Linked DNA regions of Tamandua tetradactyla. The protein of the gene in region 1 interacts with the protein of each later gene in a pairwise test. Links are inferred from orthologs where the notes say so. Each region holds a gene or a part of one and is shown in the gene's direction. Other genes may lie near its edges. The genes, in order: HOMEZ, PRKAA2, AEN and ELOA.

Evidence for each region.
Region 2: the proteins of HOMEZ (region 1) and PRKAA2 interact in binary tests that used the Homo sapiens proteins (3 or more experiments, as listed by UniProt). The two-hybrid records come from large-scale screens. The link is inferred for Tamandua tetradactyla from reciprocal best matches to the Homo sapiens genes HOMEZ and PRKAA2.
Region 3: the proteins of HOMEZ (region 1) and AEN interact in binary tests that used the Homo sapiens proteins (3 or more experiments, as listed by UniProt). The two-hybrid records come from large-scale screens. The link is inferred for Tamandua tetradactyla from reciprocal best matches to the Homo sapiens genes HOMEZ and AEN.
Region 4: the proteins of HOMEZ (region 1) and ELOA interact in binary tests that used the Homo sapiens proteins (3 or more experiments, as listed by UniProt). The two-hybrid records come from large-scale screens. The link is inferred for Tamandua tetradactyla from reciprocal best matches to the Homo sapiens genes HOMEZ and ELOA.

The regions. Positions count from the first base shown.
Region 1 is NC_135340.1:31,582,699-31,590,689, forward strand, and holds the start of HOMEZ (homeobox and leucine zipper protein Homez), read left to right. Parts: upstream 1-4,982; 5' UTR 4,983-5,057; coding exon 5,058-5,115; intron 5,116-7,991. Other genes in the region: PPP1R3E (protein phosphatase 1 regulatory subunit 3E), read left to right, coding at 1-56. UniProt on the Homo sapiens protein: May function as a transcriptional regulator.
Region 2 is NC_135328.1:164,519,888-164,527,452, reverse strand, and holds the start of PRKAA2 (5'-AMP-activated protein kinase catalytic subunit alpha-2), read left to right. Parts: upstream 1-4,559; 5' UTR 4,560-4,607; coding exon 4,608-4,701; intron 4,702-7,565. UniProt on the Homo sapiens protein: Catalytic subunit of AMP-activated protein kinase (AMPK), an energy sensor protein kinase that plays a key role in regulating cellular energy metabolism.
Region 3 is NC_135338.1:96,585,335-96,592,211, forward strand, and holds the start of AEN (apoptosis-enhancing nuclease), read left to right. Parts: upstream 1-3,857; 5' UTR 3,858-3,859; coding exon 3,860-3,919; intron 3,920-3,980; exon of another isoform or gene 3,981-4,109; intron 4,110-6,223; coding exon 6,224-6,811; intron 6,812-6,877. UniProt on the Homo sapiens protein: Exonuclease with activity against single- and double-stranded DNA and RNA. Mediates p53-induced apoptosis.
Region 4 is NC_135328.1:202,486,113-202,493,319, reverse strand, and holds the start of ELOA (elongin-A), read left to right. Parts: upstream 1-4,202; 5' UTR 4,203-4,284; coding exon 4,285-4,359; intron 4,360-7,207. UniProt on the Homo sapiens protein: SIII, also known as elongin, is a general transcription elongation factor that increases the RNA polymerase II transcription elongation past template-encoded arresting sites.

The DNA.
Region 1 (7,991 bases):
AGCACCCAGGCAGTGGCGGAGCACCAGAGCCTCAGGGCTGGATCCACTTTATCTGAGAAGAGGCGGCCGACATAGGGGAGGGGAAAAGGCACCCGGGGGGGCGGGGGGAACCCGAAGACTGGGCGGGAAGGAGTGGGGAAAACCGCGGATGGCGGGGAGCGGACCAAAAAGAGCAGGGGGAGAAGGGGAGAAACCAACGAAGTTTGGGGAGATTGGGGTGTTAGATATGAGATTGCTGGTTAGATATGAGTAGAAGGAACCCAAGGCACAGGCGAAAGGAGATCGGACAGGACGTTTAAGGAATTAGAAAAAAAGCCAAATGGACGGGGATGCTGCTGCCCTTCTCTTCTGTCAGTGGGCACTGGGACGAAAGTAAATAGGCTTGTCAAGTCTACCCAGTAGAAGGTTATGTTACCTCTTTGGGATTTAGGAAGTATGGGTGAAGAGTCCACCCCAGTTGAAGTTATATAGATTGCTTGCTCACTGTTATACCCATTGCCACCTCAGGTCCTCCGGCCCTGCCCACCCTAGCTTTTACTCAGCCATAATTGCCTTGCTTATTCCCAGGAACTTGGCCACTGCTCCCGGCTCCCTGACATGGTAGGATTCCCTTGTCACTCCTGATGGTTCCTGGCTTCATTCTCCAAGGACCGGCTGGGAAGTGATGGCAAGTACCAGTTAGAGCTTCTTTCAGACTCCAGGCAGCCCTAGGACTTAAAATAGAGTCAGAGCAACTCTGGGCCTGTCCTTGTATCCAAATAAGGGGCTGGTACACTCAGGGGCTTCCAGAAAAACTCCAGCCTTACCTTTCTGGGATGCCTTCTGATGCTCTTTAAGCACTTTATGGACCTCATGTGTCAAGAGAAAGTGAATCAAGGGAATCACTATTCTGATTCTGCTACAGAAGAGAAGGAAACCACTGACTAGCTGTATAATTAACTTCACCTCTTTGGGCACTAGTTTCTTCATTGGGAAATTGGGTTTGGATTAGGTGATCTCTATAAGGCTCCTGGCATTGACATGTTATGATCTGGGAATGGGAGGGCCTAGTTTAGAAGACACTCTAACAACCTATGGCTGTAGGTCTGCATAGAGCATGGAGTGTCTGGCAGGGCCGTGGATGGTCCTCCAGTGTTTGGCCCACGTGTTCCAGAGCCTACGAAGCAGCCTACAGCCGCAGGGTATTCCGAGGCTTCTTCCAATCCACAGCTCATCTGCCCCTTGCCTTTGTCCTTGCCCCACAGACTCCCAGTCTGGGTGTTCTGCCACAGCTCTGGAGAGATGCTCAGAAACCCCAAAGATGAAACAATATTGGGGGCTCTCTTGAGGAAAAAGGATTATAATAAATGGAAAACATTTCACGTCAAGAATTAAGGCAACTTGAAAATTCAATGGCACCAGGAGGTGGCAGTCTGCTTCATGGCTTGAGCGAGTGAAGTGGGAAAGCTGGACCATTTTATTCTACCCATTCATTCGTGCCCTTTGTCTCTCCTTCTTAACCTTCTAATGAGAGTGCTTCCTCCTCTGGTTGCTTGTTTTTTCTTTCCTCTTACTCTGTTCCTAAGCGCTTTGCTTTATCTTTCCTTGTCCCTTCTCATAATTCCCACACACACCCTTTAACATACAGAGTTATTTACCTTCATTTTCTCTATTTCCATTTGCCCCCTTCATTCTTGTTGATCTCTGCTATTCCTTCTGCCTCCAGAAGGAGTGAAGAAACTACTTCCTTTAATCCAAGACATGGTCGAACCACTTTCCTCTCTCAGGCTTCTTGAAAGTCTTCTAGAAAAGAGAAGAGGGAAAAGAGGCAGCATGTCCTGACGGGAACAAAGAGCTCCAGGTAACCAGCTCCCCACATCCCCTTCCCTGCTTCTGTTAATGATTTCTCAAAAAATTCTGGATCACCTCTTGCTTATCACTGTGTGTGTGTGTGTGTGTGAGAGAGAGAGAATGTGTGTATATGTGCATGTGCCCACACATGCATTCAGAATAGAATGGGGCTTGTTACATGTCCCTCCTGTCCAAAGCCTTAATCCTTTGAAGAAAAGTGGCTGAAAGAGAGGAAGCATGGGTCGTTCTCTGAACAAATGCTCATTTGAACATCATCCTTATCACCTTATGAAGAATACAGAAAGAATTTTATGCATCTTGTGGATCACCTTTGGGTCAGAGTTGAAGCTGAGTGAAGAGAGAAACTGTAATGGAAGCCTCCAAGTAATGCACTGTTTAGCCATCATTGAGGAGGGTAATGGAGAGAGAGAGACTGGGTTGAGACTCTGTGTGATAATCTCTGCCTTATGTGTATGTGTTACTGTTAATGTTGTATTAACAATAGAAATGGTCACGCTTCCTTAACACATCTGCTAAAATCTAGTAGTGTTTTGCATGCATTATTTCATTTAGTTTTCAAAACAACTATGTGAGTTAAGTTATATCATTATCTCCGTTTTAGAAATGAGGAAACTGGCTTAGAGAAGCTCAGTAATGTGCTCAAAGTCACATAGTAAATGACAGAGTTAGTATTGTGAACCCAGGAAATCTTGAATCCAGAGCCTATGTGCATAACTATGATGCTATATATTTTTTCCTTTAAAAAAAAATTAAAAACCTTGCCATATGTCATCTCTTATTAGGAGATTATATTTCTTTTTTTTTTTTTCTAGGCAGTTCCCTCCAGCCTCTCCATTACGTCTTTTTTTAAGATTTATTTATTAATTAAAAAAATAAATAAAACAAAACAGCATACATAATCAGTAATTCACAATATCATCACTAGGAGATTATATTTCTGATCACACTTTGCATTTCCATCCTCCCAGGCTCCTGCACTGGCCTGGAGAAGGCAAAGTACCAAGGGCCCCAAGCTTCATCTACTCCTCCCAGGAGCTTGCTGCTGCTTCCTGTACCAGGTCTCTTTGCACCTGAGCTCTGTGCAGTATTAGCAAGTTTTCACCCCATCTGCTGCTAGAGAACTTAGGGAATTCATTTGAACTCCTGCCTTCCCTTACACTGGAATTCTCTCCTGGCCCGAGCTGGCTCTCGTTGCCTGTTGGTATGACTCCCTCCCTCCCTCCCTAGCCTTGAATAGGCCAGTTCCCACAGTTCCTGCTAGAAGAGTCCCTGGCTAGGACAACTGCGGATGGTATGTGATTGGGCTCTCTTTGGGATCCCTGGGAATACTGAGTGGGTAAATAGGCTCTGATTTGGGACATACTGAGCTCTTTCTCTGTAAGAAGCACCATGGCTCATCTCCTCCCCTATTCTCAGGGTATAGAACAAACACATGAGTTCTGATTTTTCTAATATTGAGCTGTCTTGGCATGTGAGCTAAGCTGATAGTTTCCCCCATTGTTCCTTCAAGGTTGGTTCGATCTAATCCGACAAGGGAAACACTAAGAGTTTGGTAGGATCTTTAAGGATCCTGTTAAGTGTTAAAATGTTAGGCACTGTGCCAGGGACTTTTCTCTAAAAGCTGATAATTTTATGAACAGGAGAAATTTTGGATGCCACATATCAGCCATGAACTGGGAATTGCCAGAAACAAAACCATTACTGTGGTAAGGGACTTTGGTCCTTGAAGCAACACAGCAATAACTCTATTGTCCTTTGCTCTCATCCAGACTTCAGATGTCTTCCTGCCCATCTACCTGTTCCATAGCTTTCCTTTTGTTCCAGTATCTTTCTTCATGAATGTAGCTCATCATTTCTTCAGCTTCCCAATCTAGCTCCCATATTCCCTTGGTTCTGACCCTAAGGTTTCTCTTAGGTTCCTTTGGATCCTTGTACCCCCAGATCATAGAATCAGAGACAGGAAAAAGCTTGTCTTTAGAGAACAGTTTTCATCTGGACAGATGAGAACATAGGTCCAAAGATGGGAATGGTCAGGGAATTTGTCAGGGCAGCTTCAGTTGGGGCTTAAACCCAGACATCCTGACCACATCCCATCCCCAGACTAGGAAATAGGCCTCTACACAGTCAGACACACTGTTTTTCATGACAAGGGATACATCATAAATGAACACGTGTTTCATTTTCTGCTGGTACATCATTCCCTCCCCTATTCACTTGAGGAGAAACAAAGTGGACATATACTTTTCACTGTGTTCCCAGTCTTGGCACTCTTTTGGGTGACGTTACTAAAGAGCAGTGCATCAACCCGTTGGAAAGCTAACCTGGGGGGGAAAAATGAAAGTTGTTATGTGAACCCCTGAAAACCACTTAACAGAGCCTCTCCACCCCCATCCCAGTGCAGTCCTGTCCACTATGTCCAAACCCACTAGTGCTGGACTTCATTTCAGCTCTGTCAGATAAAAAAAAAACTCATTTTTGAAATAAAGTTGAAATATGAAAAAGTAATAAGATATTAAGAAGGACTCTTTGTTTGGGGCTAAAGATGGCAAGATGCCCTCCTCCATTTCTTCTTTGTCATCTCATTTCTTTAAAATCCTGTTCCCATTCTGTTCCTCTGTAGATGGAAAAGTTGGGTGGCAAAGAGATAGAGGAGTTGGGCAGTCCTGATATAAGACACCTCGGTAAGATCACACTACCGTTTGAGTAGCAGGAAAATTATCAGACTCAGAAATCTAGTGCTTTGGTTCTCTGGCACCCACACCAGCAACTGGTGCAGTTAAAGGGATCAGCTTGGTGGGAAAAAAAAGTGTTTTCCCTTGGGTATGGGCCATCTGAGTTGAATTCTGTTCTGCAAGCACTGGAAGGAAGAGTAAAACTCATTTCCGTATAATTAAGGTCAACTCTAAAGCAAGAATGAGAAATATGATGGAGAGGTAAAAGTCAAGGAACTATGACCAATTCAGAATGGAGTATGAGAAGTGGACTGACTAATAAAGGGAGGAGTCCTTGGAAAAGATCATGTTCTAACATAGTGTTGACTCCCACATCACTGAATGATGAAAGAGCCCAATTAGCCACAAAGTAGTGAGACAATGTTCCTACTAGGGAAACCCTAGCCAAAGAAAAATGAGATACTTCCTCATTGCATCATAATGACCAAGTTGTGATGTCACTGTAGAGTATCCACCCTTCAATATGTGTTGTAAATGAAGCCAGTTATGCTGAAGGGTAAGGTCAGCATGAGGAGCAGGTACCCAAGGAGAGGTAAGTGGGAGCGCTATGGTTCTTTCCATGGCTCATTGCTTAGGGTCTCCCTGTGGCCCCAATATTTTTCCAGACTTCTCACATCTTAGTTTGGCAGTAGGTTTGTCTGAAATATATCTTCTACAGACTCTTCAAAGTTGGGTTTGTTAGCTCAAATCCTCAATACTTGTAGTTCTGATCAGTCAGCCCTCAGTTCCCTCTGGCTCTGGATTTTCTTAGGAGACAGGACATAGAACATTGGAGCCAGAGGTCCCCTAAATGTGGGGCAGAAGCTGACCATATATATTTGGTGCCCTAGGGATAGATACAGATTTTTGGGTGCTTGGAGCATATAATTTTGGGGGTCCTTTTAAGGAAAAATGAATCCATATTACTAATACACAATTAGGCATAGAAGTGAACGTTTCAAAATGAAAAAATATAGCAACAAATTATGAAAGCTAACAAATACCACAATATCACAAAAGTAAGATTTTAAAAACTATCTGCTTGGTAAACCTACAGAATATCATTTTTTCTACTTTTTTGTGTGTGCTTTGATAGCTATTTCATATGATGGTTGTTTTGTTTGGAAAGTCTAGAGTTAATTGAATCTTTTTGTAGTTGATCACTTTTTTTTTTTTTTTTGGCATGGGCAGGCACTGTGATTCGAACCTGGGTCTCTGGCGTGGCAGAGTGAGAATTCTGCCACTGAGCCACCATCACACCGCCCCATGGTTGATCACATTTTAAAATTATTATTGGTAGTTTAGAAAAGTTTCACTTTCATACCTAGTGGTAGTGTCACAAATAATTAGGACTTTAGTCAACTTTGGGAAAACCTGTCAAATTTCTTTTATATATGTGATCTAATATTTTAGAGCATTTGAAATTTTCCTTTGCAATGACTAACTAATGTTATACGCCCTTTGAATTAATGACATTAGGAGTATTCCTGGAAACTATCTACATAAGAATTTATTCACAGAACTGCAAACCACATAAATATAGTTACTAAATCCAAACTAGGTGTATCCCCAACTCAGTTTCCTTAGCCAATTCTCAAATGCTTGTGGCCTTTCCATTGCCACCTGACAAAAAGGGAAGTGGGATGAAGGCGAAATCAGAAAGGAAAGAGTCATCAATCTTAGCCAATTGCAGTTAAAATATATAATTTTGAGATTTTACAAAAACCTATGATCATGTGAACACATTTCTGGGGCTCTTCCAGCCTGTGCACGTGTGGGCCCTGAAATTTCAACTTCCTTAGTCACAGGATAGATATGCCTCTGGTTAGCCCCTGCTTATCTGAATCAAGCAAAGGGAAGAATGTTTTCACCTAAAATGGGGGATTGACCTTTCTACAATGAAGATGAACTGATGAATCTCCTTTGTTCAACACTAATCCCTGGAAAAACTGGGAGGGTTACTGTCTGGCTAACTGTGGGATCCTCCCATCTCTGAAGTATCAAACGGAACCTTTTCCTCCCTGTACTCCCCCATCCCATCCATGCCATCTTCTAAAGCTTCAGGGTGAAACCTACATAAAAGAGACTTCACCCTGCATTCCAGATATTCTCCTCTTCCCTAAATTTGTCTTTGACTCTCCCTCCACTCCCAACTCTGGCAAGTGTAATCTTTCTGACACAAGAAAGGGAGCTGAATTGTTCATCTTTCACAATTCCAAGCCCATGATCAGTGATGTCCAGAGTGAGTCACTGAACCCGTCAGGGTCAGGTGCTTAGTTCCCACAGCCAGTTGCGTGGCTTTCCAGTCAAATGTGCACGAGTTCCTCCCAGTCAATACAGTTTCATTTAATTGTTTGGATTTAAAGGAATGATCTCCCCACTGGAAACTGCAGGCTGCTGCTGTCTAAAACGTTTCCCTCTTCCTTCCTGTTAGTTACAAAGCACTGGGGTATTGAAATAGTCACGATTTGGAAGACCGTCTGTATATTATACCACCAACCTCGGCTCCTTCCCTGAGGGACCAAAAGTTTCTAACTCTGAAGCTTAGTATGTGTTTTCTATTGTTTTTGTTGGATATTAGTTTGAAGAACATGGGACTGGCTGGTAGAAGTGAATATTGTTACTAAATGTAACTAAGGAGAGGAGAGAGACGGGAAAATTCAGGGCCAACAATGGAAAACGGAGCTCAACTCTGAAGCAGAGATGTATTTGTCTGGCAACTCTGAAAGCGCTCTAGACCTGAGCGGACCAATGAGGAATGTTTCCCTGGTGGGTCGGGGGGGGGGGGGGGGCGGGGGGAGGGAAGAGTTTTGAGGTATGCAGAACACAGGGCAAAGTTTGAGGCAGTTTTATAAACCATTGTAGATATATAAACTATTAAATCATCTAAACAGGTAAAAGACATTTTCAAAGCCCCACATGAGAAAAGAAGGGACACTTCTGAAAGATATTATTCCTAAATTTTAATTAGAAGACAAAGATCCTAAATATACAAACGTCTGGTCTAGAACTTTGTAGTGTGTGAGATAGTGCTCTTGTCTCCCTTTCGGAGACCAAGGTCCCCCAATTACGAGGCAGATCTCCAGGTCCTCTTTACCAGGGCAGGAAGGAGGGGTTCTGTGGATCTGGCGGTTCCGACGAGGTGACTTCTGCAGGCTTTGAGAACACCTGTCTGGTGCCAGCGTGTCCAGGCGCCCGGCTCCTAGGATCCTCGTCTTTCCGGGTGCTAAGACATCTGATCCATCTGGGGAACAAGTTCCCCGTTGTGTTAGGCCCTTCTTTGGAACTGACGCTGCTAGAGGCACAGTTAGGGCCTCCGCTGGAGAAGGAGCCAAGCGTGCGCAGGCTGGGAAGGATTCCTGGAGCTTTCCACTGGAGAAAAAAACTGCAGAGGTGTTACTGGCGACCCAGGCAGTTCAGCGAAGAGCT
Region 2 (7,565 bases), on another chromosome or scaffold:
TGGACATTTTCATGGCCTTAGAACTGTAAACTTGCAACTTAATAAATTCTGCTTTTTAAAAGCCATTCTGTTTCTGGTATATCACATTCTGGCAGCTTGCACACTAGAACAGCCCTACATGTTCTGGTTCATATCTACCTCCAAACTCACTAAAAATGACTACTACACTGAGATGTGAAATTAGCTTTTTATTTAGTATGTATTAATTTTGATTTCTCTTTTGAAGTGTTCCTCCCTAAATTTGTGTTCTTTGATTTTCTACTAAGTCACCCTTTTCTTTATTTTAATTCAACAAACATTTTTGGAATGATGGACCAGGTTTCACTAGCTCTGAGGGACATCAGATATCAGATAGGGTATGAATACATTGTTCATGAACATATGTATATTTCTTATGCATATGTTTATAAATATATAGAAAAATATGAAAATACATATAAAATATTAATATAATAATAATGTTTGCACATATAAATAGAATTGACAAATGCTATAGTAGCTATGTGAGTGTAATGGGAACCCTAAAGAGAAACATATAATCAAAAACTTGATTAGAGAAAACATTGAATTATCTTTCTATTCTCTCTATAAAAATATTACAAATATCAAGAGGAAATCAAAGATGATTGGCAAAAAATGTAGAGAACAAGTATTGTAGAGGTATGTTGATAGTAGTTAATTGATAAAAATATTTTTCTGGATTTGGAGATGTTTATAAAATCCGTTGTTTAAAAATCTGTAGATTGTTGTGATTTTTTCTTCACATAAATACTCACTTGCATACTTAGTTTTGTATTTTTTCCTTAAACAAATCCCCCAAAGTGTATAAACACCAGGTAGCAGATAACCTGAATCCACTTGGGTGCCTACAATTTACTAGGCACTGTTCTGGGAGCTAAGAATTTATCAGTGAATATAACAGAAAACCCCCTCTCCTTGGGAATGTAACATTTTAGTTGTGGGGAATCACACAAAACAAAAACATAATAAATAAGCTAAATAGCATATTAGAAAGTGACGACAACTGTAAGCAGTTGGGGAGAGTAAGGGTGATGGAGCACGCAGGCCCTTGGGTGAGACGAAAGTGTACTTTTAAATAGGGTGTTCAGAATTCACTTCACCTAGATGACTCAGAGCAAAGAAGGAATTGGTTATTGATAATATCAAGGGAATCTAGTATAGTGTTTTAGATATTCGGATGTCATTATTCTCCTTATTCAGGCCCTGCTTTGGAACAAAGTAAAATTACCCCAAAGGCTCTGTTTTAGTTTGCAAATGCTGCTGGAATGCAATATATCAGAAATGGGATGGCTTTTAAGAAGCATGCTTATTTAGTTACAAGTTTACAATTCTAAGGCCATAAAAATGTCCAAACTCAGACATCCAGGGAAAGATACTTTGAATCAAGAAAGGCTGATGGCATCTGGAACACCTCTATCACTGGGGAAGGTACATGGCTGGCGTCTGCTGGTCTTTTGGCTTATGGTTTCAAAAGCTTCCCTGGGGGCATATTCTTTCTGCATCTCCAAATGTCTCCGTCTGTGTCAGCTCTGAACTTTTCTCAAAATGATTCCCTCTTAAAGGACTCCAGCAAGTGGATTAAGGCCCATTTTGAATAGGTGGAAACACATCTCCATGGAAACCCCCTAATCAAAAGTTCCCACCCACAATTGGGTGGATCACATCTCCATGGAAACAACTTAATAAAAAAAATCCCACCCAAACAATAGGTTAGCCCCCATAGGACTGGATTAGGAAAATGACCATGGCTTTTCTGGGGTATATAACCGTTTCAAACCAGCACAGGTTCAGAGGAGGATAAAGTTGTAACAGTTGGGCCAGGGTTAAGAAATGAACAGCTAGCTGGGGCATCTTAGAGACTGGTACTAAACAATATAGGGACACTAAAACATTCCTAGGAAATAATGAAGATTGTATTTGCTAGAAAGTCTAGAGGGTTAGACCATCAAGGGATATAGCTCTTTAGGAAATTTGGTCTGATTAACTGCTGGGTTTTGTTTTGCTTGCAGAGTGAAGCAAATATGGAATCACAGCTGACATATTCAGGGCAATACAACAAAAGCTGACAACGTTCACAAAGAGTTGTCCTTTTTCGCCTTTCTTCCCTGCTTCACATTCAATTTTTCTTGTAAATAAGGATAACAACTAAAAAAAAAACTATAAAAAATTTTTTTATACCCTGTTATTTTTATACCCTGTTATTTAAAGGGTATATTATTTGCATACCCTAGAAATAACAAAAATAGTAGAATGGTACTGTTGTGAAAATGTAAAACTTTCTTAGACCACATGTGCTTTTTGATAAGTAGCTATGAGTAGAAAAAAAAGGACAAGTTAGAGCTGGATAGGAGTTCTGACTCTGACCCTAATGCGTTCAGCCTTTCGCAAATCATAAAGAAAAAAGCTCGGTGTTATAAAATGAGGATAATAAGTTTCTTTTATGACAATTAAATGAGATAGTTTTGTTTAAATGTGCTTTTTGAATCAACAAAGTCCCATATACATTTTTGGTATAACAATAATGCTACAAGGTTGTCCATAGTAGCTTTAGTATGATCACAGGTATGAAGTATGTAGTAATGTAAGTTATAATTATCAACAAATAGTTAATGACAGCACAGAATACTATAAAAATCCCATTTATAGTCTGTTCATGCACATTAAAAGCAACCTAAATGGGAAGACTTTTCAACATCTTTTAATGGGATGTTAAAAGAAGAGAGACAAATATTTTATCTTAAAAGCAGAATAGGTATTTTGTTTTCTTACTCACTTCAGAGAATACTGAAGGAGTGACTTCACCAAATGAAAATTCAGCATCCAAAAAAAGGTCTATTTTTTTTTCCAAATTGCCACCTAAGTAGAGTGATTTTTAAATGACAGTTCTTACTGACAAGAAAAATGATCTGAGGAATGAAGGAAAATAGCCTCTGTTCAACAGCTGTGCTACCTATAGTTTATAAGCTGTGATCATTTTTCATCAGATTGTTTTGGGTGTTTATATAAAAATGAATGTATGAATGTTTGTCATTTGTATTTTTAGCACTTCTCAGAAAGGAAACTTTTCTTACATCCTATTCTTTCATAGGATGTATTCATCACACATATAAACAGTGTGATAGACTTCCTGTATGAGGAATGTGACCTTGAAACCCTAAGGTCATATACATTATAAATGTTCAACTAATCGTCAGTAATTTATTCCCAAACAGCAAATAATCTTAAATACTGAAAGATAGGACAGTACTTAAGGATGGAAGAAATGGAGGAAGGAAGAGATAATTACTTCATTTCCCAGTTCTCTGTCAGTCTTGAATACTCTCTTTGGGTATCATGCTTCTGGTTTCCTTTATCATTTTTTTTTTCACTACCGCCTTCATCACATTTATTCTTTCTTTGATTTGTGCCCTTATGCTGCCCTTGCTCTTCCAAATTTGTTTGTCCCTTATGTATTTTACATTCTATGCTCACTACATTCCTTTTTTCATTTCTTTCACTATTTTCCCCTTGTAAAGCTCTATCACATACTATTCCTGTACTATATATTTACAGAAATGTGCTAAAATACAATCGAGGAAATATTTGTGCTTCTGATTTATTGGAAAATTGTGCAAATTAAAATTTAGAGCTCTGGAGGAGAGGATCCCTTCCATTCTTAAAATCACTGAGAATTACGAAATATATAAAGGAGGACAATTGAAGAGAGCACAGAATTGGGTTCTCTTTGTACCATGACCTGTATCAAAAGTCAGCCAGTCTACGCCTAGAGAAAACTTTCCTTCTGCTCTCCTCAAACTGCCCTTTGATCAAGGCCCTTCCCACCACCTCCTTTGCGCTCCCCGATTTCCTTATTCCCCCATTTGTTTACATCCCTCCCTCCCCACAATTTGGGCCTGTTCCTTTTATTTCACTTCTACTTCCACCATTCCCTAGGATTCTTCCCAAATCTCTCCCTCACACTTTCACTCTCTTCAGTTTTCCCTACGGGCGCCCTTCAGCCCTAAAAGGCCACTGACCCTCAGGTCCCTCCCCCCACTCCCGGGTGTTGCCCCCTTCATCCACTGCTACGCACTACTGGCCGGCTTTCTTTTTCTTTTTCTTTTTTTTTTTTTTACATTGGCAGGCACCGGGAATCGAACCCGGCAAGCATTCTTACCTGCTGAGCCACCGTGGCCCGCCCCTGGCCGGCTTTCGGCCCGCCTTTGAACTCCCCACACCCTGCTCGGAGCCCTCCCTCAAGTCCCCAGCGCCGGTTCCCTCCTCGCCCGGGGGAACGACCTTCGCCGCCTAGCCGTTTCGCCGCCTCGGGCTCAGCGCTCACACACCCATCACGCCCCGGGCGTGGGCACCTCACCTTCTCCCCTCCGCAACTCCACGCGCCCAGCCCATAGACTCCGCGCTTCCCACGGGCCCCGGCCCACTTCCAACCCCTCCTCCCGGGACCCGCGCCCGCTCTGCCAGCCGCGGCTCGCCGCTCGGCGTCTCCCCGACGCCCCCCTCCCCCCCGCAGGTCCCGCTGCACTGTGGGTAGACGGCGGCGGCGTCCGCGCTGAGCAGCCTGCGGAGCAAGGCTGCGCGCGCCGAAGATGGCTGAGAAGCAGAAGCACGACGGGCGGGTGAAAATCGGTCACTACGTGTTAGGGGACACTCTGGGCGTCGGCACCTTCGGCAAAGTGAAGAGTTGAGTATCCCACCGAGGCCGTGGCGGGGGGCAGCCTCACACGTGGGAGGCCGGGCAGAGCCGCGGGAACCCCGGGCAGGCACAGGCCCTGAAGGCAGGTGGAGCGGCCGGGGCCGCGCGGAACCCAATGGCTCCGGGGAGGTGGCGCCACCGCCTCCCGAAGCAGCAGCGGCTCGAACCTGGTTGGGACCTGGTGAAGAGGGGTCGGGGTGTGGGCTGGGGGACAGACTTTCCAGTGGTCTGGAGCAAGGTGCTCTTTCTTGGAACTCAGTTTTCCTCTTCTGTGAAACTGGGAGTTGGAGCAAGAACTGTAAGGTGCCTTACAGCTCCGAGACTGTTTGGATAGGACTAGGGAATAATACACGTTACTGATTATTGTTTCGAATCCGTTCCAGGTACCCTGTTTTAGGTGCTTAACATGTGATGGTCATTTCGTCTTTACAGCAGTATGATGAGACGTTATCCTCACTGGAAAGAGGGCGAAAACTCGGATCCCCAGAGGTTTAGTAGAATGCCCAAGGTCACACAAAAATTGGCAGAAGGAGAGGATGTCTAAGATGTCTCCCAGTTCTGGCATTGCTGGGAGGTCCCTGCCACCTCCAGATTCTTTAATATTCCCCGAGCCTCTGTTGGTGGGACTGGCTGTTTAGGGGATGCCTCAGGGACCAAGAGATGGGGAATCTCCCGGACGTGTGAAATGCTGGAATGCAGCTGGGTTGGGTCTGGGCGTAAATTAGAACCGCGAGGTCTGAAGGTCGATTGGTGTGTATAAAATGATTCTGGGAAGGCTTCTTGAAAGGGGGAGAGAAAGAGGTTCCTCGCTGTTGGACTTTGGAGGATTTGGGACTGAGAGTGCCAGAGCTGCTCAAGCAGATTCTACTGAAGTCTGTTCTCATGGTGATAGGGTCCCACTTTGGGGGTAGAACTGGTTCCTTTTAGAATTAATATTGAACTTTCTTTCCCCCACCCCGTTTATAAGAGTCACCTGGGATTTAATAACGTGCCCTCTCTCCGAAACCAGAACCAGTTTATTAATAGTTCTTTGTTACAAACACAAAATTATTAGTGAAATGTTGGCTTTTTTTTCCCTTGTAGAAATGTTGGGAAGCAAAATGGAGTTTTTATTGTGAGATCTCTATTTCCTAGTAAAAATTCATATTGTAATCTGAAGTCCAGGCTGCTAAATAGGTGGTAGAGGCTCCTTGCTGATGAATTCCTGTTGCCTTCATATATCTGATACTCATTCATTTCTTCAGAAAACATTTATTGAGCATCTACGAAGTGCTATATACTGTTAATAGGCAGTGGGATACAGCAGGAAAGAAACCATATACAAATCCCTGTGTTCATGGAGCTCACATTCTTCTAGGAGGGGAAGGCAAACAATAATCAAAATACATCCGTTAAGTATACAATATGTTTAGTGTTATTGAGAAAAACGAGGCAGGGAAGGGAGGATAGGTAATTTTGTGGGATTTGCAGTTTTCAGGCAAAACCTCACAAACAAGGTCGTGGTTGAGTCAAGTTCTAAAGAAGGTTGCAAAATTCTTTGAAGTTCTATTAAGACTGTGAATCCTAGATTATTTTGAAAAACCTCATAGAGTGGATAGTTAGGAGAATGTATTTAGAACGAATATAGGAAGATCTGGAGTTGTATTTACACCTGTAATGTTACTGAGGACTATTGTATTATAACATTATACAGTTACTCAAGCAAACAACTCCTTTGCCATCTGGACTTGTAGACTCCTGAAGTTATAGAACTTACTGTGTACTTTCAAATTGTGCTGAAGTTTTTGTCTTTTTAAAATTCCTACACTGTAATCTGAATGTAGGGTAGGCCATCCATCAGCCCCATTGTTAAGGGGCAACTTAAATTTCTTTTGTATATGCTCTTAAGCTGCTGCCAGGCGTTAGCTTTTTAAATTATAAGTCAAGAGATGGAGCTTTGCTTTTTGAGAAATCCTTTTCCCGAAGAACTCCTTTCTAGTGAATAACTAGTTGGAGCAGGTCTCCTAATACTGTGAGAGCCTCTCTAAAGTTTTCCTGTGGCTTCTCATCCAGGATTAGAAGCAATACAATGGTTTGTTTAATAAAAATTACAGAAATTACTACAATTTTAATCATTTAGCTCAAGAGACAAGTAAAACAAAAGCACATGCAACTATTAAGACAGTTTTTATTGAGGTAGGTATATTTTACATATAAAATTCTTCCGTATCAAATGTACAATTCAGTGATTTTTTAGTAACTTCACTGAGTGGTGCAAACAATGTAAATGTATTTTAGAATATTTTTACCCCACCCTCAGCCCCTCTCCCTCCCTCAGCCACAGGGATCACTAATTTATTTTCTGTCTATGTGCATTTGTTTTTTTCTAGACATTTTATATCAATGAAATAATTTAGTATGGGGGATGCCTGTGTCTAGCTTCATTAACTTAATATAATGCTTTTCAGATTCATGCATAATGTAACATCTATTAGTAGTTCATTCCTTTTTATTGCTGAGTAATATTCTATTGTATGGCTACACCACATCTTGTCTCTGCATTTGCCAGTAAATGGACATTGTTTTCAGTTTGGAGCTATCAACATTTTCATGCAAGTCTTTGTGTAGACTTATGTTTTCATATTTCCTGGGTAGATATCTAAGAATGGGATTGCTGGGTTATATCATAGGTTTATGTTTAACTTTTTGAGAGACTGCCAAATTGTTTTCCAAAGTGTTGCACCATTTTATGACCCTGCCAACAATATATAAGGGTTACTATTTCTTCACATCCTTTTCAATATTTGTTATTGTTTGTCTTATTTATTATAGCCATTGTAGTGGGTATGAAATGATATTTCATTGTGGCTTT
Region 3 (6,877 bases), on another chromosome or scaffold:
TTTTAATAGTATATAGTGTCCTTCTTTGTCTCTTTTGACTGTTTTACATTTGAAGTCTAACTTGTTGGATATTAGTATAGCCACTCCTGCTCTTTTCTGGTTGTTATTTGCATGAAATATCTTTTCCCAACCTTTCACTTTCAACCTATATTTATCTTTGGGTCTAAGATGTGTTTCCTGTAGACAGCATATAGAAGGATCCTGTTTTTTAATCCATTCTGCCAGTCTATGTCTTTTAATTGGGGAATTCAGTCCATTGACATTTAGAGTTATTACTGTTTGGATAATATTTTCCTCTACCATTTTGCCTTTTGTATTATATATATCATATCTGACTTTCCTTCTTTCTACACTTTTCTCCATGTCTCTCTCTTCTGTCTTTTCGGTTCTGACTCTAGTGCTTCCTTTAGTATTTCTTGCAGAGCTGGTCTCTTGGTCACAAATTCTCTTAGTGACTTTTTGTCTGAGAATGTTTTAATTTCTCCCTCATTTTTGAAGGACAATTTTGCTGGATATAGGAGTCTTGGCTGGCAGTTTTTCTCTTTTAGTAACTTAAATATATCATCCCACTGTCTTCTAGCTTCCATGGTGCTGAGAAATCTACACATAGTCTTATTGGGTTTCCCTTGTATGTGACGGATTGTTTTTCTCTCGCTGCTTTCAAGATCCTCTCTTTCTCTTTGACCTCTGACATTCTAACTAGTAAGTGTCTTGGGGAACGCCTATTTGTGTCTAATCTCTTTGGGGTGCGCTGCACTTCTTGGATCTGTAATTTTAGGTCTTTCATAAGAGTTGGAAAATTTTCAGTGATAATTTCTTCCATTAGTTTTTCTCCTCCTTTTCCCTTCTCTTCTCCTTCTGGGATACCCACTACACGTATATTTGTACGGTTCACATTGTCCTTGAGTTCCCTGATACCTTGTTCAAATTTTTCCATTCTTTTCTGGATAGTTTCTGTTTCTTTTTGGAATTCAGATGTTTCATCCTCCAAATCACTAATTCTATCTTCTGTCTCTTTAAATCTGTCATTGTAGGTATCCATTGTTTTTTCCATCTTTTCTACTTTATCTTTCACTTCCATAAGTTCTGTGGTTTGTTTTTTCAGTTTTTCTATTTCTTCTTTATGTTCAGCCCATGTCTTCTTCATGTCCTCCCTCAATTTATCGATTTCGTTTTTGAAGAGGTTTTCCATTTCTGTTCGTATATTCAGCATTAGTTGTTTCAGCTCCTGTATCTCATTTGAACTATTGGTTTCTTCGTTTGACTGGGCCATATGTTCAATTTTCTGAGCGTGATCCGTTATCTTCTGCTGGCGTCTGGGCATTTAGTCAGAGTTCCCTGGGTGTTCGACCCCACAGGTTGAAAGATTTTTCTGTGCAATCTCTGGGTTCTGTTTTTCTTATCCTGCCCAGTAGGTGGCGCTCGTGGCACACGTTTGTCTACGGGTTCCACCAGTGAAAGTTGCTGTGGGTCCTTTAACTCTGGAAAATTCTCGCCGTAGGGGAGGTTCAGCAGCCGAAGTGTCTTGGAAGAATGCCAGCCGGCCTGGGGTTCCGAATGCGGGGAGGGTCGCCGGCCGCCGCAGCACGGGAGAGCGTCCGGCCGAATTAGCTAGTCGACCTGGGGCACCAAGCGTGGCGGGAGGGCGCCAGCTGTCGCAGCCCGGGAGAGTGCACTATTCCCAGCCAACGGGGGAGTCACGTGTTTGGAAGGGATCCCCCGGTCACTGTTCTCCACAGTCTGGGGATTTCCGACCCAACTATCTCAGTTGTTCCGGGGGGCCTCGTGTGGTGGGGGCACCAGCTGCCGCGGCCTAAGGAGACCGCCTGTCCAATTCTACCAGCTGGCCTGGGAAGGTGGAAGGGAGGGACTCCGGTCGCTTGCCGTCCCACCCAGGAAAGCCCGTGCCCCTTGGTGATCTCACCGGAGCTGGTTCTCCCAGATAGTCAGCCGTTCCAGGATGGGGTACGCCGTCCCTTTGATCTCCCTCGTGACTCCGGGAGCTGCTCTGTATTATCTCCACTCCCCCAGTAGCTGTTCTGGAGGAGGAAAGGTGAGGGCGGCAAGGCTGTAGAGGCTGGTGGTGGAGGAGCCGGTGAAGGCGGGGGAAGAGGGCACCGTGGTGGTTGGAGAGCGGCTGGAGCAGGAGGGGGAGGAGGGGGGAGAAGGAGGGCGGGTGGGTCGGCTGCTGCGGGGCGTGGGCGCCGCGCGGCGGGCCGGCGGAGAAAGAGAGGGGAGAAGGAGGGCGGGCGGTCCTAAGTAGTTTTTTAATCTGTCCCTACGTCTTTGTTTCTTTCACCATTCTGTCCATCACTGTCTTCTCTGGCCTGAATTTCCATGCTCACCTCCCAACTCCTCTTCCTCCAAGCCTTATCCATTCTTCTTATACCGCAGCCAGTGTGAGCTTTCCAAAATGCAAACCTGCTGGTGAATGAGCAGAGGCCAAAAGCTTCCAGGTTCCCCAAAGCTTTCAGGAGTCGTTTTAGTTTGTAAAAGCTGCCGGAATGCAATATACCCGAAATGGAATGGCTTTGAAAAGGGGGAATTTATTAAGTTGCGAGTTTACAGTTCTAATGCTGTGAAAATCACCAGATTAAGGCAAGGCTATAAAAATGTCCAAACTAAGGCATCCAGGAAAAGGCACCTTAGTTCAAGAAGTCTGATAACATTTGAGGTTTCTCTCTCAGCTAGAAAGGCCCAAGGCAATATCTGCTAGCTTTCTCTCCAGGCTTCTTCAACAACTTCCCTGGGGGGTTGTCGGTTCTAGTGGCTATTAAGCTTTTTCCAAAATGGTTCCCTCTTAAAAGGCTCCGGTAGGCAACCCTACCTTGAAATGGTGGAGACACATCTCCATGGAAACCATCTAATCAAAGGTTACCACCCACAATTAGGTGGGTCGCATCTCCATGGAAACAATCAAGAAGATCCCACCCAGCAATACTGAATGATGATTAAAAGACATGGCTTTTCTGTGGTACACAACGGATTCCAACTGGCACACCTCCCTCGCATCCTTTTCCCATGATCTGCTTCCTTCAAGTCTAGACTTCAGTCAGATATGGCTGGGAGCAGCTTCCTCTGTCTATACCCCTGGACTTCTGAGTGCCTTTGCCTTGTCCTCCTGCTTGCAAATCTGGGGCCAAACGGAGTTGGTATGGGTCATTTTTTTTTTTTTTTACTCCAGCTGTTTGTCAGTTTCTTCAACTGTAAAACGGAAATAGTCACTGCATAAGAATCCCATGCAGAATAAATAAGTATATTGTTCGTGCTCACACAATCAATGCGGTTTATCAATTGTTCTTGTTATTATTCACGTTGCACTGAATTCTCTGTAAACCTGCCTGTTACCCCGGCCAGACTTGAGCAACTGAGGTCAGGACTGAGGTTGTTCAGTGTATTCGGTGTCCAGCCGGTGACAGAGACTTGATAAAGACGAGCGCCGAAGGAGCAAACCTGACTTCCTGTAGTTCCCATCACGGGTATCATGTCACTGAATCCCTACAACCTGCGAGGTAGGTGGGGGTGATTAACCGCATTTTGCAGAAGTGTATGTACTCTGTGAGTCACTCGGCTTTCGGGACAGGGAGCTCACAGAAGCCCACATCCCGTCCAAAGAGGCGGGAGGGACCGGAGCCAGGAGGACGAGCGGTGCACACGCTCCCTTCCGGGTCCTTTAAAATTTCCCGCCAGCTCGGTGGGCTCCGGACACAGGTCACGCCCCTTTAAGGAATCCCCGCCCCTCCGGTTGTCTAAGCCAACCAGCTCGAGGCAGGCTCCCGGCCAATCGGAGGAGGCCTTAGGCGGGCGCTGTCGCTCCAGGAGCCAATAGGCGGGCAGCTAACCCCGGGCATGCCCGGGCATGTGGCCCCGCCGGCTGCCGGGAGCCACGTGCGGACCGGAAGCGGCGCGCGGGCGGCAGGTGAGCTCGGGCTCCGCGCGCGGGGGCGCGGGTCAGGGCGTCTGGGGCGGGGCCTCGGGGCCGCGCGCGTGGGGTCCGGGCCTGTGGGGCTGCAAGCCGGGCCTCCGGCGCCGCCTCTCCGCCCTCTGCGGCCTGTTCGGGGGTCCCGGGCCTGAGGAGGCGGCGATGGGCGGCGGGACTCGCCGGGCCGGTAAGTGAGCGACGCGCGGCCCTTCCCTGGGCGAGGCCGGCCTCCCACGGGCAGCGCTGGGCGGACGCGGCCCGAGGGCGTGAGCGCCCCGAGCTCTTCTCCAAGTTTCCCGACCCTCCTACTTTTTAATCGCACAAGGGGCCTTTCTCGAGCCCAGTTTTCCCAAACTGGGGCGATGGTTAAAATCATGGGGCGGGGGGGCGCTCGGGCTCAGAGTGCAGATTCTCAGGCCTCGCCCCCAAAAGCGGCCGTAAGGCAGCGGGGCCGGGCCTGGAAACGGGCGCTGTAAACAACCGTCCCGATTCTTCTGGTAATTGAGTGCGTCAGGGAAGCCCCTGTCCTATCAGCACCCTCCGTTTACGCCGAAGGGACGGTGACTTGGCGCAGTCCATTTCGCCGCTGAGCGCAGAGAGCCCCCGACCCTGCGGCCTCCTCACCGGCCATTTGCTTGGTAGCCCCCAGCCTCTGGCTGTTCAGATTTCCTGGTTCCTTTAGGGTCCTGTCCTTCCCATTGCTGGGCTGAGGCAAGTTGAGGGTCTGCATTCTGTCACCCCTGATCAGTGAGTTGGCTATATTGAGGAAGGTGGTTATAAATTCAGAGGGAGAAGGGGTGAACAAGCAGGGAGGGTGGATCAGTCAGGGTGGTTCATGGGGCCTTCTCCAGGCACCCCAAGCCCTGCTCATGCGAATGCTGACCTCACCCCATACCACCCTGTCACCAGACTCTGACACTTCACCACTCCTCTCCCCATTCCCTTTCCCTTTTCTCTTAATCTCTGCTCACATTCTTATCTTCTCCAGACTCTCCCCATAAGGCCGTTGTGAGCCTGTTGCTTTCTCCCTAAAAATCTTGTGCTTCCCCATCATTCTCTGGATTATGCCCCAGTTTACCCACCCTCCGGGATCATTCCCTGTCACTGGCCCTGCTCCACCCCTCCCCTCACCCCCATCTCCTTGCTTTTCAGCTGCTGCACCCAACTCAGTGCCCCCCCCCCCCCCCACTATGGTATGCTTTGCCTCTGTGTTTTCTGTCTGAATGCCCTTCCTTTCCTGGGCTACCCAGTAGACCTTCCTGGAACCCTTCAGCGTGCCTCTTCCACTGCCAGGCCTCCCCTCACCAGCAGTGGGAAGGCATCCCTCTGCTCCCATCCCGAGCACATTGTATAATTGCCCAGCTAATCTCTTCCCACCAAACCAGGCGGTCAACTCTACTCTCTGGGAAATAGCAACCTGACTTAAGCTCCCTTCGCACACTTCTGAAGCAGGGTCTGCTGTGTGCCATTTCCTAGGCTGGCTGTTGGGGAAGTGGCAGGGCAAATGGGCTCTGATTTACTGGTGATAGAGGTCGACTGTACATAACCATCTAGCTTGAAGAGTGTGATAAATTCTTCTCTGGTTGTGCTGAGAGCACACAGGGGTGACTTTCTTTGCTCCCCAGGTAGGCTGTAAATGTCCTGGGTCAGGGTCTGGGGCACCTTCACTCACTTGCCCAGCAGAGACTAGTTTAGGGTAGGGGAAGCTTGTGGAGTGGCTGATAGGAGGACCACCAGAGAGGGGGACAAAAGACCAAGCAAAACAAGGGGAAAGGAGCAGCCCCTGCCCTCCCGCCCGTGGTGCAACTTGTGCTTCACACCTCAGAAACCTCTTCCCTCCTCCCTCCATCCTGGGTCCCTCCTCCAGGCCTTTGCCACTAGCGAGGGACTAACTCCTCCTCTCCCTTCCACCTGGAGAGTGACTGATCTGCAGCACATGTAACCTCTTAGGAAGCCTCCCCACAGTTGTCATACTGCCTTTTCTGCTTCCCTAGACCTCTCCCTCGGCCCTTAGCATGCTTTCTGGTAACGTTTCTGCCTCGGTGGCTACAGACTGAACTCTTGGTAGTGGTTCTTTGTCCAGTGCGTGGCACAGAGCTGGGGGATCCTAGAGGCCCACGGCGTGGCATATCCTGTGGAGCCCAGTAGACGAAGGGACTGTTCCAAAGGGCTTTTGGAGGATGCAGAAGAGCAGCACCTGCTTTTAGTTCCTCTGCTCATTCTGGGCGCCCTGAGATAAAGCGTGGGGCTGTCTGGCACCGCCCTCACCCAGCCCTCCTGGCTTGCATGCTTTCTCTCCAGGGTGCCGCACTGTTGGAAGGCCACCTTTCAAGACTTGCTCAGAGCCACGAGCCAGCTGGGATGGTGTCGCAGGAGGCCCCCGAGGCTGCCCAGTATCTGTGCCCACCCCTCTCCGGCCTGAATGCCAAGGATGCGCTTCGGAGAAAGCACAAGAGGAGGAGCCGACAGCACCAGCGGTTCATGGCCCGGAAGGCCTTACTGCAGGAGCAGGGGCTGCTGAGCGCCCCCTCAGAATCAGTTCCCTCCCCCCGGCCCGACCCGGAGGGTCTGCCGAGTGCGAGTGCGGAAGCTGTGCGCAGCAGGAGGCGGCGTCCCCGGGTGGAGTGTGGCGGTGCGGCGTGCAGCCAAGGAGCCACGGGGCCCTTGCCCAGCAAGTGTGTAGCTATCGACTGTGAGATGGTGGGCACGGGCCCCCACGGGCGGGTGAGCGAGCTGGCCCGCTGCTCCGTGGTCAGTTACCACGGCGACGTTCTCTACGACAAGTACATCCGGCCCGAGATGCCCGTCACTGACTACCGCACGCGCTGGAGCGGCGTCACTCGGCAGCACATGCTCAAAGCCATCCCCTTCCGGGAGGCCCAGAAGGAGGTGAGGGTAGGCCGAGGGTAGGCCCGGGGCAGGCCGGCAGGGCGGAGGCAGGCTGGCAGGGCGGAG
Region 4 (7,207 bases), on another chromosome or scaffold:
TCATCTGCTAGCTTTCTCTCCTGGCTTTCGGTTTCATGAAGCTCCCCAGGAGGCATTTTCCTTCTTCATCTCCAAAGGTCACTGGCTGGTGGACTCTGTTTTATGGTGGTGCAGCATTCTCTGCTCTTTCTGAGTCTCTTTCTCCAAAATGTTTCCTCTTTTATAGGACTCCAGTAAACCAATCAAGACCCACCCAAATGGGTGGAGACATGTCATCACCTAATCCAGTTTAACAACCACTCTTGACTAAATCACATCATCCAGGGAGATGATCCAATCACAGTTTCAAACATACAGTATTGAACAGGGTTTATTCTACCTTTATTAATGGGATTTTGGTCAAAACATGGATTTTTCTAGGGGGCGTACTTCCTTTCAAACCAGCACATTCCACCCTCTGGCCCATAAAAAAGACATGTTTTCCCCATATACAAAATACATTCATTCCATAACAATATCAGAAATCCTTAAACCATTTCAGTAACACAAAGTTAGAAACAGTACAAACTCCTGTCAAAGTTAGTTACAGGCATGGTCTGTTCTAAGGCCAAGTTCTCCTCTGGCTTTGGACCTTTGAAAACTCATAACAAGTTATTTGCTGCCAACATACAAAGGAGGAACATTCATAAGATACATATACACATTTCTATAGGGAGGAAGGAACACAGGGGTCACTGGACCCATACAGTTTCGAAAACCCGCAGGGCAATATCCATTAGATTTCAAAGTCTGAGAGTCATTTATCTTCAGGGCATCTGAAAGCGGCAGTCCCACCCTTTCGAAGGGCCTACACAGCGGCCTGCCTCTCTCTGAATGCAACCTTGGGGGACACTGGGGAGACCACCTTTTTCTTGGCTCCACCCTCTCCAAGCATCGGGGGTGCACCCGGGCTCTCTGCCATCTCTGGGGAACACACTCAACCCCTCCATGTGGTGGCAGCCAGGCTCTCCCCAAACCCCAAGGAATGTGCTTCACCCTCTCCAAGGCCTGAGGTGGCATGACTCTTCCACTGCAACGAGGTGGAAGGCCCATCCTCTGCCTTTGGGGCAAATTCACCCTCTCCATGGGCTTGGGTGGGTCCATTCTCCTGGCCCGAGTCTTCTTGACTTCAGACCTCAGCCTCCATGGTTTTGCCTCTGAAGTTATTTTTCCTCCAATGTGTCCCTTCTCTGAACCCCTCAGTCCAGACTGGCAGCGGCTCTGTTTATACAGGTCCCACAGCACTCTCATTGGCTTTCTATGCAGTAGCCTTGGATCATGCCCATCAGACATAAGGCGTTTCCACAAATCCTTCCTGGATAACTCCATGTCTAATCCTGGCTTTCTCTGAAATGGCTGACTGGTTCCACATTTGGTTAAATCCTCACACAGGGTGCTATTCTCTGGGGTCTCCCTTTCTGGAGGCCCAGAATTTTCCAGGACCTCAGTTTCTGGTTTCTTTTTACTCAAGAATTCAATTCTCAGCTTATATCTTTCCTGTCGCATTTCACTATAAGCTGTGAGAAGAAACCAGGCTGCATTTTCCACATTTAATTTGGACATCTCTTCTGCTAAATATCCAACTTCATGACTTTAAAAATGTGCCTTCCAGCCAAAGCCACTAGTCAACTTTGCCAGATTATTTGCCATTTTAAAACAAGGATCGCCTTCCTTCCAGTCTGTAATGACACATGTCTCATTTCTAAGACTTTATCAGAAGTGTCTTTAGAGTCCACTTTTCTACCAACAGTCTCTTCACAGCACTCTAGGCCTTCTCTATCAAGTTTCTCACAACTCTTCCAGATTCTTCCCCTTATCCATTTAAAAAGCCGTTCCAACATGTTTGATATTTGCAAGTCACAGCAGCAGCACCCCACTCTCGGTACCAAAATCTGTTCTAGTTTGCTAGCTGCCAGAATGCAAAATACCAGAAACAGAATGGCTTTTAATAAGGGGAATTTAATGAGTTGCTAGTTTACAGTTCTGAGGCTGAGAAAATGTCCCAATTACAACAAGTCCTTTCAAACCAGCACAGGACTCTATTTTGGATTTCCTCAAGACTGGGCAGTTGTTGATCAGTTTGACCAGTTTTGCTTTGCCTTTCCTGATTATCTTCAGAGTGTGCTTTTACCCCAGCATTTACTTTCTACTTTTCATCACTACTTGGAGCCTAGAGTTGATTGACTCAAGCGACTTTTTCATCTTCTTTGCAGCCACCATCTTCCTGCCTTAGGTGTGGGATGGGCCCAAACCAAGGGCAGCTGCCAAGATGGCCAAGGAGCTAGAAAGGCCAGAGTAACATTTTTAGAACTGGTTAAAAACATTTTTTAACTAGATATTGGAACATACACAATTAACTGCTCATCAGAGTATTTGTGTATTTGAGTGTAAAGAATTCTTTACTTTCTAGGCAACCCCAACTCAGTCTGACATAGATGGGGAGGAGGGGGTGGGGCACCCTCTCCTGGAGCCTTCAGCAGCATGATAGGAGAGGAGCTGGGCATGCATTGTTTCTTTTTATTCTGGTTGTTGAGCCCTCTCTGGGTAACATGCACACACACACACACACACACACACACACACACACACAAAGTTTCATGGATCCTGAGTATTTATGCCAGGTCAGTTAGTCAGCAATTCTTCAAAAACCGTCCATATTCCATTACACCAGTGACTGTCTGATCACCACATTTTCAAAATCGAAGGAATTTAAGAGATTGTTCCATGTAAAGGCAATTGTTGTGCAGAGGAGGGAGACTCCCAGGGGAGGAAGGGCTGGAACTAGAATCCAACTCTGCTTACACCCAGTTTGATACCTTTTCCATTACAGCCCATGGCTTGAGTCTTAGGGCAACAACTGAGAAGTCATTAATCTTATATAGACTTTTTATCCAATGCTGTTTATATGACCCAGTTTGTGTTGGGTGGCAGAGATTCAAGGTTGGACAGGTCATTCACTATACTTGATAAACAGCCCAGTGGCAAGACAGAGGAATAAATGCACAATTTACCTATAACCTCCAAAGGGCTGGTTGCTGAGGGAATTCAACAAGGGGCACCAAGCCAAAAGTCAGGGGATGGTAGGATGGCTTCCTAGCACATTGAGTGAATGAATGCTTATCTGAAGAAACAACTTATATTGAGTTATTTTTTCCAGAGTTAGGACTTGGAAGAGTGGCCACTGGATTTTCCCACTTCGAGTGAGAGGTCAGACCAGGTGATTGCTCAGCAGGAGATCTGAATAGGATCCAATCAAATTTTATCTAATCAAATGACACAATCAATGTTGGCATTTTAAGTTAAGGCTATTGCTCTTTTTAGTAGTGATAATAATAGTAGTAGAAAATTTAGTGCTTCTAGGATGAGTGAGTTGTGTTTTGCATTGGTCTGACTTAGGCCCTATTGCTGATGGGCATGTCATCAGAAACTGTCATTTCTTCATTCATTCATTCAAGAAGTATTTATTTGGTGCCTATATACCAGACACTGCTTTGGTGAGAAAAGAGACACACAGGCTATTATAATCGCTTCCTAGGACTAATCGGTTTGACTTCAGACATACCTCTTTGTTTCTCTAGGCCTCAATTCCCTGGCCTCTTCAGAGTTGTGCACCACTCTGGACCGAGACTACTTAGATTCAGATTTTGGCTTCATCTCCTTCCTGTTATGTGACCAGGTTCATTTGGTCACCCTGAACCTTAGTTTCCTTACCTGTAAAATGAGTAAAATATCATAGTGTTATCTTGAGGATGAAAATAAGATAATCCAACCATGGGCGCACAGTGCTTATCCTGGAGTGGTCGCTATCATCGACTCCTGCTGACCAAACGGGACAACCCAGTTTCCCAGGCTCCTGAGGCCCCCTGACAGGACCACTGACAGGTGTTGATTACATCTCGGGCTGGGGGCGGGGTGGGGGGGGGAGGGTGATTGGCTATATAAGACTCGGGTCCGGCGCCGGGGCCTCATTCCATCGTAGCCTGCACGCTGGAGAGAGCGTCCCAGGCTGCACCCCGAGGACCAGCAGCAGGGCTGCCCGGGGTGGCCAGGCAGGGCCGGCGTGCCCCGACGAGCGGTCCCAGCGCCTGGCACGCACGCTCCAGCCAGGGACTCGAGGCGAAGGGCGACCGGACCCCAGGTTCTGGGGGCGGGGTCTGCGGCGGGTCAGCCCCGCGCCCCCCGGCCGAGGCCCGGAAGGGGCCAGTCGCGCTTCCGTCTCCGCCGGGGCCGCACGGAGGGCGGAGCTGCGGCCCGAGGACGCGACGCGAGCCCAGTTCCGGCGAGGAGGCCGCGCCAGTGACAGCGATGGCGGCGGAGTCGGCGCTCCAAGTTGTGGAGAAGCTGCAGGCGCGCCTGGCTGCGAACCCCGACCCCAAGAAGGTGAGCGAGGGGGCGGCGCGGCGCAGCGCTGGGCGTTGGGCGCGGCGCGGGCCCTAACGGTCGCTGGGCGGGCTCCGGATCCCGCGGGCGCTCGGACCCTGGGCCAGGCCCCGCCGGGCTCGCCGACCCGTGCGGGGAAGTTCACGGCGGATCCGCTGCGCCCAGCGCGGCGGGACCCCACGGCGGGCGTCGGGACTCGGCGGGCCGGGCCTTCTCCACCTCCCGGCCTCGGGGTCGGGGGGCGCCCACGGGCGCCGCGGGGAGGGGGCGCGCTCGGGTCCGAACCCCGCGTGTCCCGAGCTGTCGTCCCCGCGGGTCCCGGCTGCGCTCCCGCGACGCCCCCTCGGCACCCGCGCCCGCAGTTCCCGTCCGGAGAATTAGCTCCTCGCTCCCCGGCACTGCGCCGCGAGCTGCGCTCCATTCCTCTCCTTGCGAAATGTCTGATTTCTTGGTGTCTTTTGATGTTTGTTGGGAGAGGGAGGCGGTGTTGTCTTTACGGAATGGAGCCCCGGCTCGATGCGTGTGTGGTCCTGCGGTCTCTGAGACATTTTTATTGCTTTCCGGCTCTATATTAGAACATTGACCTTTTCGCTTTCTCAGTGAATCCCTTTCAAAACAAAACGAAGCCTCCCGTCATCACAGCTGAAGTCTTGGAAACTTAGGTGTAATTGAGAAAATATATCTGGCTTTGTTAGAAAGCTTTGATCTATGGTTTTTCGTTGCTGCGAGTGATGGACAACCATTTTTAATTGTACCTAGTTAGGTTAAAAAAAAAAAGTTAAATACAGTCGTTTCCTTTTCTGTCTTTCTGTTACCCAGATTCTTGATAGCCTTTGGAGAGTGTCTGGTGGATGTAAGAATGTTTTCATTGAAATACATCAATTAAAACACTTAAGGTGTTTGACATTCTCCTTCAGCATTCTAGCGAGGAGTTGAATCTCTGAGCTGGAGAGTCCCATTCCAAAAATTAATCCAGGCAGGCCATTGAGATAAATGGTGGAGAGATTTGGTTTCCAAACCCATCTACCAGCCTTTGGGGATTTTGGGGGAAGTTCTCTTTACTGAGTTTGTGCCCTCACCTGCTTTTGGTTCCTAAGCGAAAAGTCTGTATAAAACTCCAGGCTCATAGTTAGTGTTTAGTGGACAGTAATCACCACTCTTTAGCTTTAACTTGTTTCTTAAACTCTTTAACTTGCTCCTAAGCTGTCATAGATGAAGTTTTCTCCATTACTAAAGGCTACAAATAGTCTCTTACCATCAAGTCACTTTCAGATTCTCTTTATAACCAAGCTCAAAGATCTACTTCTTTAGTGAGCCATTTTAATTTCAAATATGACAACTTAATTTCTTCAATTGTGTTGTGTTTTTCTGTTGGAGCTTTAGTACCCAGTGGCCAGGCATATTTACAGGTTTCTTTTTACAATAACCCTTTGTGGGCATCTAATAGATGGTCATTATTCTGAGTACTAGTTTGTTTTTCTAAACACTGTAAGGGTTGTGACTGATTTTTAAGTCATAAAGCAATATTATGTAGCCACTCCCTCTGCAATTTGGTCTTTATTTCCATCAGATAAAAAATGATCTATGTGTCATCTGTAGTCATGTTTCCACTAGGATTTAAATTTGGAAGTAACTTTTCTCACAGTTGGTTTGCTTGAAATATGAAATTAGGAAAAAATTTGTTTGGTTTCTCATTCTACCTGAAGTATTAATGATTTCTGTAAGCATTTGGACTTTCTCTTCCCAGATATAAAATCATGCTGAACATATGGCTTGGCATTGTGAAATGAACGTTATGAAGATGAGAAAACATTGGGAGATCATGTTTGCAAAAGGCATGATAGTTGGCATTCAGAAATGGGCTAAGTGCAGAGGGAAAATTGCAAGCTGGCACATTGGCCTTCCTCTCAACCTTCTGTTAATGCAACAAGCTCCCACAGGTTGTTTTTGAAATTGCAAGATGATTAGATAGCAGTATTAAATTTGCAACCAAATCCTGAATTCAAACTATTATTAGTCAAACGTTTGATTCCACACCTATGTTCATGTATTTTCTGATATTAATTATTGGTGTCTAACTATAACTCCATTTCATTTTTAATTCCATCTGTGAACTAGGCTTCCTTGGGGAGAAGTTACCAGGCAGACCTAGGGCACTTGGTTTCTGTTCCTACTAATTGGAAACAGTTTTCATGGCTGATACAGTAATGTAGCAGTACTTTTAAAAGTTACCTGTCTGTGTTACATTTTGAATGCTGAAACTACAAAGAACACAGTTCAGTGGCAGTTGGAGAGCTAGAGGTCAAGGGTATGAACATCTTTTGCTCTTTGGGTTTGAAAGTGTGTGTGGGGGGGACAACTGGAATTCCTAAGCTTATACTGTGCAAATGTTTGACGTTTCACAATGATCTGCTATCAGTTCTACAGTTGATCTCTTGGTTTGATAACAGCAAGCTCCTGCCTGAGGTTGTCTAAACACATAACCTTGTTATTGCTCTGTTCTTTCTTGAAATTCTTTGAAAATTGTAGGACCAAATATGTTTGAAAATCTTGGAGGTTTTAGTTTATCTGCTTCGAAATTGCGCCTGCTAACCTGAATTGAGACAGTGTTAGGCTTTGAGATAAACATGCCTTCAGTGACTTCTGGCCTCATCTTTCTATGTTGGCTTTGTAGAGGTCCTGGGACTCTGTTCCCATGGTGACTTCCTTTACTGTATGGAGTCTAAACTGCTAAATAATGTAAAAGTGAGGAGAAGTTGATCTGCTTTGTTCCGAATCTGCTAAGAGGCCTATGAGTTACTGCTCCGTTTTCTGCTGCTGCTTCCTAAGGATAGCATTATTATGTTGG